2 linked regions of the Macaca fascicularis genome follow. The protein of the gene in region 2 interacts with the protein of the main gene of each other region in a biochemical or structural test. Links are inferred from orthologs where the notes say so. Each region holds a gene or a part of one and is shown on either strand. Other genes may lie near its edges.

Region 1 (3,500 bases), on a different chromosome or scaffold from region 2:
AGTATGCCTTATCAGAACAGACCTTCTTTCCTTTTGTTTTTAAGATCAGTAACTATATGGTGGTACATAAGCACAAATTGTACATGTGTATATTATACTGTAATTGATGGGGATGACTTTTTAAATCCTCTGGCTATAAAATAATTCTGCCAGGTCACAGTGGCTCACACCTGTAATCCCAGCACTTTGGGAAGCCAAGGCAGGTGGATCACCTAAGGTCAGGAGTTTGAGACCAGCCTGACCTACATGGTGAAACCCTGTCTCTACTAAAAATACAAAATTAGCCAGCACAGTGGCACATGCCTATAATCCCAGCTACTTGGTAGGCTGAGGCAGTAGAATCACTTGAACCTGTGAGGTGGAGGTTGCCGTGAGCTGAGGTCGCACCGTTGTACTCCAGCCTGGGCAACAAGGGCAAAACTGCATCTCAAAAAAAAAAAAAAAAAACTGACTATGCAAGTTTTTTTTAAATGAGATTTAATGTTTAGTTGCCGGTATAGATTTGCATTTGGAGGTGCTTTTTTCCCCTGCTGGAGGACTAGGCAATTTTTATATTATTTCATTCGATTATCAGAACTTTTAGAGAAATGGAATCATATACTTAACGGTGATTATTCTTGGCCATAGAATCACACCCTGTCACACTTTGGGCCTTTGTTTCTCTTGGACTGACAGCACTCTAATTGGTTTTCTAAGAGCTACCAGCCCCCTTTTTCATTTAGTGTCACTACTCATTTTTCCTTTTCAGGGAATGTATCTTAGGAAACAGCTAACGATAAATACAGAGGTTATCCTGAGTTTTACTAGTTCTCAGTTCTTAAGTATAGACTTCTTTCTCTACAGGTTTGCGTCACTGGTTGCTGTTTATGTTGTTGGGGGGTTCCTATACCAGCGACTGGTGGTGGGAGCCAAAGGAATGGAGCAGTTTCCTCACTTAGCCTTCTGGCAGGATCTTGGAAATCTGGTAGCAGTAAGTAACAGGGCAGCTGGTTGAATTTGTAGCCTGCAAACAAGGCTGGGTGACCAACCATCCTGGTCTGCTCACACTGAGGGGGTTCCTGGGACACAGGACATGGAGTGCTAAAACCACAAAAGTCCCAGTAAACAAGACGGTTGCCCTAGTACAAAGTAGTAAGTGGCATAGCATCCGTTTCTGGCCTTGGTAAGAAATTGCTGAAAGAGCAACACTGTTGATGACCAGGTGGGCTCTTCTAAATCTGATTTAGCTTTTAAGTGGGCCTGGGTGGGAAGAAGGGAAGGCCTAAGAAGAAACTTTTTCTCCTGTTGTCCCAAATTGAATTTAGGCTGATTGTCACATCTTTTAGGTTTTCTCATTATCCCTGTAGAAAACCAATTCTTGCCACATTCCTAGACCATAAGTACATTTTTCTCATAACCTAAAGTTGGATGCTCCAAATTATTATTATTTTTTTTCTCCCCTACAGGATGGCTGTGACTTTGTCTGCCGTTCTAAACCTCGAAATGTGCCTGCAGCATATCGTGGTGTGGGGGATGACCAGCTGGGGGAGGAGTCAGAAGAAAGGGATGACCATTTATTACCAATGTAGATTGCACTTTATATGTCCAGCCTCTTCCTCAGTCCCCCAAACCAAAGCTACACAGCCAGATTTCTCAAGCAGTCTCAACTCCAGTCTCTCATCTCACCCTTACTATTGCTCTTGCTTTCCAGTTTGCTTTTGATTTGCATCTTCTCACTAGTAAAACTGCCTTCCCTTTGTTCCTTATTTTCTGTTTTTTCTCTAGCGAGGTACAGTTGTAAGTCAGACTTAATATTAATAGGGCCTGTGAAAACAGGCTTTTGCATTGTCTCTTGACATCACAAGGTACAACAGGCATATGGGCAAAATGGTGTGGCAGGCTCACTGGCCCTTTGTTTTTTAAACACATTTTCACAAGTTTTTGAGACACTGGATTTCTTTAATTAAAAAAAAAATGCCAAGAAACATTATTTATACAGGTTTGATTGCTTTCATGTTGTTATTCTGTACCCTATAGTAGTCTCCATGAGAATCTGGTATTTCTTGCTGCTTGGAACTACTTTGCAGTGATTACTTGGTTGCAGTCCAAGTACTCTCATTTAGTCTGAGCCTGGAGATGTTCTAGACTTGCTTCTCCCACCTCTGGGATTAGGACAGGAAAAATGTGAAATTTCCCTTTACAGGATTATACGGTACCATCACATCATTTGTGGAAATTGGGGTAACTGTATAGCTGGGATTGGGCCATGGATTGTGGTCTTATCTGTCCATATACAGCCAAAATGCCTATCCAGAAATCCAGTCCACTGGAAAGGAAAATTGGAACTCCTGTGCCACAGGGGTTCCAGAAAAGGGAAGTCACTTTACCTTGCGGTGGTGGGATCCTGATGTCTTTCTTCCATTTGTAGTAAAAGCTGGTAAAGCTTTTCTTACTCCTGGTTCCCTATACCAGTATTTCTAAACGTGTCGCACTTTCTCCACAGGCATGTGGTTTTGACCTTTTTTTCAATCTTCTGGAAAGGGAATGGAAGCAGAAGTGGGACATCGAGGGCTCTGCTGTCCTCTGCGCTGGGTGTGGAATGCTGCTGCACCTGTCCCTTCTGCTGGCTCAGGGAAGTGTCTTCTTGCCCACATTTCTGTGGGGAAAGGTTTTTAATCCTCCGATGCTTCCATGTTCCTGTTTAGGCCATGTGCCCAGAAACCTGGACTGATCTTTCTGTAATAGTGAACCCCTGGGCCACTGAAGAGTAATATGGCTCCACTGGACACAAAAGAGGAATGGAATCAATAGGCAGGGGGCCTTTTCTAAGCCTTAGGAAAAGAAAATGAAACTATTTCATCTTTGGACTTTTCAATACTATTGGAGTGATTTTTTCTTTCTAAACAGGGAAAATAATGTTACAAAAGCATCTTTTTTGTTATTTGTTTGCATCCCTCCCCCCCCACACCCTGGTGTTTTAAAATGAAGAAAAAAAAACATCACTTTTTGTACAAAAACTCGTAATGATTAAAAAAACAAACAAAACATATTGGCCTAGTCATTTGTGTGAACGTGGGCAAAGACTGGAATAGAGTAAGACAACTGAAACCGATTTTCATCCTTTTACTGAGGAAAAAAATATTTAATATTTTTGTTGTATAAGGAATAGTGCCTAAGGCAGGTACTTATACTCCTGACCTTAGCCCCACGCACTCTGGTTTTATACAGCTATAGGACAGAGCAGAGTTGGAACTGAAAAATAGGGTACAAAATAACAAATTGGAGGGGAACAGTGGGATGCAGAAAGAATGAGCAGCCACATATGCCCCAGTCAAATACTTTTAGTCCCTGCAGCATAAGAAAGATGCCAATCAAGTCTCTACACTGGCTGGGGATCCTGCCGGGAGAAAAGATTCAATCACAAGGGAGTAAGTGACAACAAAGAGAAAACTCTGAGCCACAGCTACACTGGCAGAGGGCGTACCAGATTTTGCTACTTGTGTCACACAAGCTAGAAAAAC
Region 2 (4,097 bases):
CTACCAGAAGCTTCATTCTATTCAAATAATTTAGCAGAAGTGGCAAACCGGTGGCCCCTGGACTGGACACAGCCCCTGTTGTTCCCTAACAGGCAGGACATGTCTACGGCTTGAACTTCCTGTGGATCTGTGACTCCCCAGGTGGGTCTCCCATAGGACACTGCTCTCCCCTGCCCCTCTAAGCAGAGCATCACTGCCACCTCCTCAGCAGAAATATTCATCTCCTCCTTGTCCCCTAGGGCCATCTGAGATTGAGACCTTGGTTTATAGACCAAGAAGATAAAGAATTTGGGTGGTGGAGAGGGGCGGGGTAAAATCCAGGCAGAGGCAGCTTCAGGAAGAGGTTGATCCAGCAGTCACAGAGCCTGGAACCTGACGGCTGCCTTGCCCCTGGCTGACCCTCTCCAGGCCTCAGTTTCCTCCTCCACAAAACAGGGATGATAAAAAGTCAATATAGTGTTGGGAGGTCTGATGCTGGGCAGGTCGGGCTGGAGGCTGGATGAGTTCCCTGTGGTGGTTCAAGTCGCTCATATAGCTGGGTTGGGCCGGGTGCGGTGGCTCACACCTGTGATCCCAGCACGTTGGGAGGCCCAGGCGGGCAGATCCCTTGAGGTCAGGAGTTCGAGACCAGCCTGGCCAACATGGTGAAACCCCGTCTCTACCAAAAATACAAAAATTAGCCAGGCCTGGTGGCACGTGTCTGTAACCCCAGCTACTCAGGAGGCTAAGGCAGAAGGATCTCTTGAACCCAGGAGGTGGAGGCTGCAGTGAGCCAAGGTCATGCCACTGCACTCCAGCCTTAATGACAGAGCGAGACTGCGTCTCGAAAAAAAAAAAGGGTGTGTATGTATATATATATAGCTGGGTTGCAGCCCATGGTGGAGGGCCTGGCGCCTGACGCGCTGGCGAAGGTCACCCTGCAACTCTCCTGGGGTTCTAGCAGCCTCAGTTTGGCCATAGGGGAAATGGGCGACCTAGGGAATCCCAGCACCCGTGCGGCGCCCCGATCGCACTCACCTCCCAGGGCCAACTTCATAGGGTCCCCAGCTGCGGAGCGGGGGGTCCCGTGACTGGGACAGGCGTGGTCCAGGAGTGCCCCCTCCCCTTCAGGGCGTGTAGTCCTTCGCGTACTTCTTAAGTGACTTGGCGAGGGGCGGGGCCTAGTGGAGGCGGGCTAGGGAGGAGAGGGGCGGGCCTGGCGCAGGCATTCCCTCAACCTGATTGGTTCTCTCGCCCGTCACTCCCTTGCGCCCCCAACCCACCGTGCAGTAAAAGCCAGCCCCGCCCCGGCCCTGACGGTTTCAAGGCTGGTCTGGAAGCCGCAGTTATTGTGCCTGGGACGTCCAGTTGACCGCGGTGAGTGGCGGGGGTCCCTCAGTTGAGCTGGGGGGCGGTGTCCACCGAGTCCTGGGGCACCCCAGGGGCGGAGGGGTCGGGGAGGGCCTTTCTCGGGGTGGGATTTGCTGGACTCTGCGGCCTGGGGAGGGGTCTTCAGCCCAGGCTGGTCACCCCTCCCCCCAGAAAAATCCAACGTCTGCAACGGAGCTTGAACTTTGAAACCCTCTTCTCACTTCCTGGGACTTTTGAGGGTCGAAAGATACTGAGGGAGGTGGGCTAAATACCGCCCCCGTCCGGTTTTCTCTAAATTGTGATCAGTTTGCTTGCTTTTGGAAACGCAATTTGCAGGTAAGTTTCCTCCTGCAGGCAGAAACTTCGCCCTCCCTTCCGGGGTCTTCAGAGACACCCCTCGCCACCGTAAAGCCGCCTCCCCTCCAGATGGTTTCGCCACGGGCGTTGGAAGGGGGGTTGCCCCGGCTCCTGGCGCCCCCAACTGCTTCTGGGGAGGTCTTGGGCGAATCCTGCCCGCTTCCCTCGGGTGGGCGTGGCGGCGAGATGGCTTGAAAGTAGGAAGGCCTACCCCTTAACTGCTTTGGGGTTCTTGTCCCGGCTGGGCCTAGCGGTGGGACCTGGGGCTCTTGGAATTTTTGAAGTCCAGTCTTAGCATGCCCTGAAGTTGCTGGATGACTGGGTCTGGCCTGAAACTCCCCTTCTGGAGCCAGCGGCAAGGCAGGTCACTGACCCCCAGGGGTTTCATAGGGCGTTGACATCTGCAGTGGCCACCCTTGCTTTAACCAGTTCCAGAAAGTCATGGTGGACAGAGGGGACGGGAGGAAGCTGCCTGAGTCCTAAGTGGGACTTGGGAATCTGTCGAGGCCAGGACTTTGATGCCTGCCTACCTGGCCGCCTGCCCAGGTGAGCTCAGGCTCCGAAGGAGGTGAGAAGAATAGATTTAGGCAGTGATCACTGGGAGGTAGGTATATCTTCTCACCTGACTTCCCAGTTGGGGGTTTTTTGTACCTAGCAGGAAGCTGGTTCCTGGCTGGCTGTACCCCTTTGTCCGTGGAAGCCAGAGTGCGGTGAGATGGTTTATGGAGCTCTTACTATGTGCCAGGCATGGAGCTGAGCTTCCCCGGAGCAGTGTCTCCTCCAGTCCACAGGGACTCCAGGCTCTTGTGAAACTTATACCCATTTCACAGATGTGGCAAGCAAGGCTCCTAGGGAATGCTGCCTGCCCAAACTCCTATTCCTAGTGAGTTGCCAAACTGGGATTAGAACCCACTCTGGACTGGGCACGATGACTCACGCCTGTAATCCCAGCACTTTGGGAGGCTGAGGTGGGCAGATCATTTGCGGTCAGGAGTTCGAGAACAGCCTGGTCAACATGGTGAAACCCCACCGCTACTAAAAATATGAAAATTAGCTGGACCTGGTGGCAGGCGCCTGTAATCCCAGATACTCTGGAGGCTGAGGCAGGAGAATCCCTTGAACCTGGGAGACGGAGGTTGCAGTGAGTTGAGATTGCGCCACTGCACTCCAGCCTGGGTGACAGAGCAAGACTCCATCTCAAAGAAAAAACAAAAACAAAAAGAGAACCCAATCTGGACTCCAGATCCAGTGCTCCCAAAACATCATTTTGCTGAGTTCTGCTTAGGGGACATCAAAGCAAGGCCACCAGGAGGCGGGGCCTCATTCCTCTGGAAAAGATGCTCAGAGTCAAGGCCACAGGTTCTTAGGCTCACACCAGAATTCCCCGGGAAAGCATCCCATAAGGCAGGCATGACCTTTAGCCACATATTTTTTTGAGATGGAGTCTTCCTCTGTCACCCATGCTGGAGTGCAGTGGTGTGGTCTTGCCTCGCTGCAACCTCTGCCTCCCAGGTTCAAGCAATTGTCCTGCCTCAGCCTCCGAAGTAGCTGGTACCTGCCAAGTAGCTGGTGCCTGCCACCATACCCGTGCCTAATTTTCGTAATTTTGTATGTAATTTTGTATATTTAGAGATGGGGTTTCACTATGTTGGCCAGGCTGGTCTCGAACTCCTGACCTAGTGATCCACTCGCCTCAGCCTCCCAAAGTGCTGGGATTACAGGCCTGTGCCCGACCCTTTATCCTCATATTACAGGTGAGATGACCGAGGCCAGAGAAGGGGAAGGTGACTTGCTCCAGGGAGCACAGCATAGGTGGAGCTGGGACTCCTGGCTTTCCCCTGAGAACCTCATCTGATGATGGTGTCCCTGCTTTATCTCACTTGTGCAGGAAAACGGGGTTGTGGCTTCATCCCACTTGCATAGACTCACCTGGGGAGCCCCGTCCTCCCCATACCCCTGACCTGGGCTTCATAGCTCTGCAGTGCAGGCAGGCATGTTATCTCACTTTCAAAAAAAAAGCCTGCATTTTGACTGGGTGCGGTGGCTCACGCCTGTAATTCTAGCAGTTTGGGAGGCCAAGGGGGGCAGATCCCTTGAGCTCAGGAGTTCAAGACCAACCTGGGCAATATGGCGAAACCCTATCTCTACTAAAAACAAAAAAACAAAAAAAAAACACGTCCGAGTGCGGTGGCTCACGCCTGTAATCCCAGCACTTTGGGAGGCTGAGGCGGGTGGATCACAAGGTCAGGCACTCAAGACCAGCCTGACCAACATAGTGAAACCCCATCTCTACTAAAACTACAAAAAATTAGCCGGACGCGGTGGTGCATGCCTGTAATCCCAGCTACTCGGGAGGCTGGGGCAGGAGAATCGCTTGAACCTGGGAGGTG

What was found.
Region 1: the proteins of PLIN3 (region 2) and M6PR form a complex in vitro, tested with the Homo sapiens proteins (2 studies listed by BioGRID). The link is inferred for Macaca fascicularis from reciprocal best matches to the Homo sapiens genes PLIN3 and M6PR.

The regions. Positions count from the first base shown.
Region 1 is NC_088385.1:11,995,768-11,999,267, forward strand, and holds the end of M6PR (cation-dependent mannose-6-phosphate receptor), read left to right. Parts: intron 1-843; coding exon 844-970; intron 971-1,445; coding exon of another isoform or gene 1,446-1,568; exon of another isoform or gene 1,569-2,482; coding exon 2,483-2,710; 3' UTR 2,711-3,024; downstream 3,025-3,500. UniProt on the Homo sapiens protein: Transport of phosphorylated lysosomal enzymes from the Golgi complex and the cell surface to lysosomes.
Region 2 is NC_088393.1:5,639,362-5,643,458, reverse strand, and holds the start of PLIN3 (perilipin-3), read left to right. Parts: upstream 1-1,297; 5' UTR 1,298-1,686; intron 1,687-4,097. UniProt on the Homo sapiens protein: Structural component of lipid droplets, which is required for the formation and maintenance of lipid storage droplets. Required for the transport of mannose 6-phosphate receptors (MPR) from endosomes to the trans-Golgi network.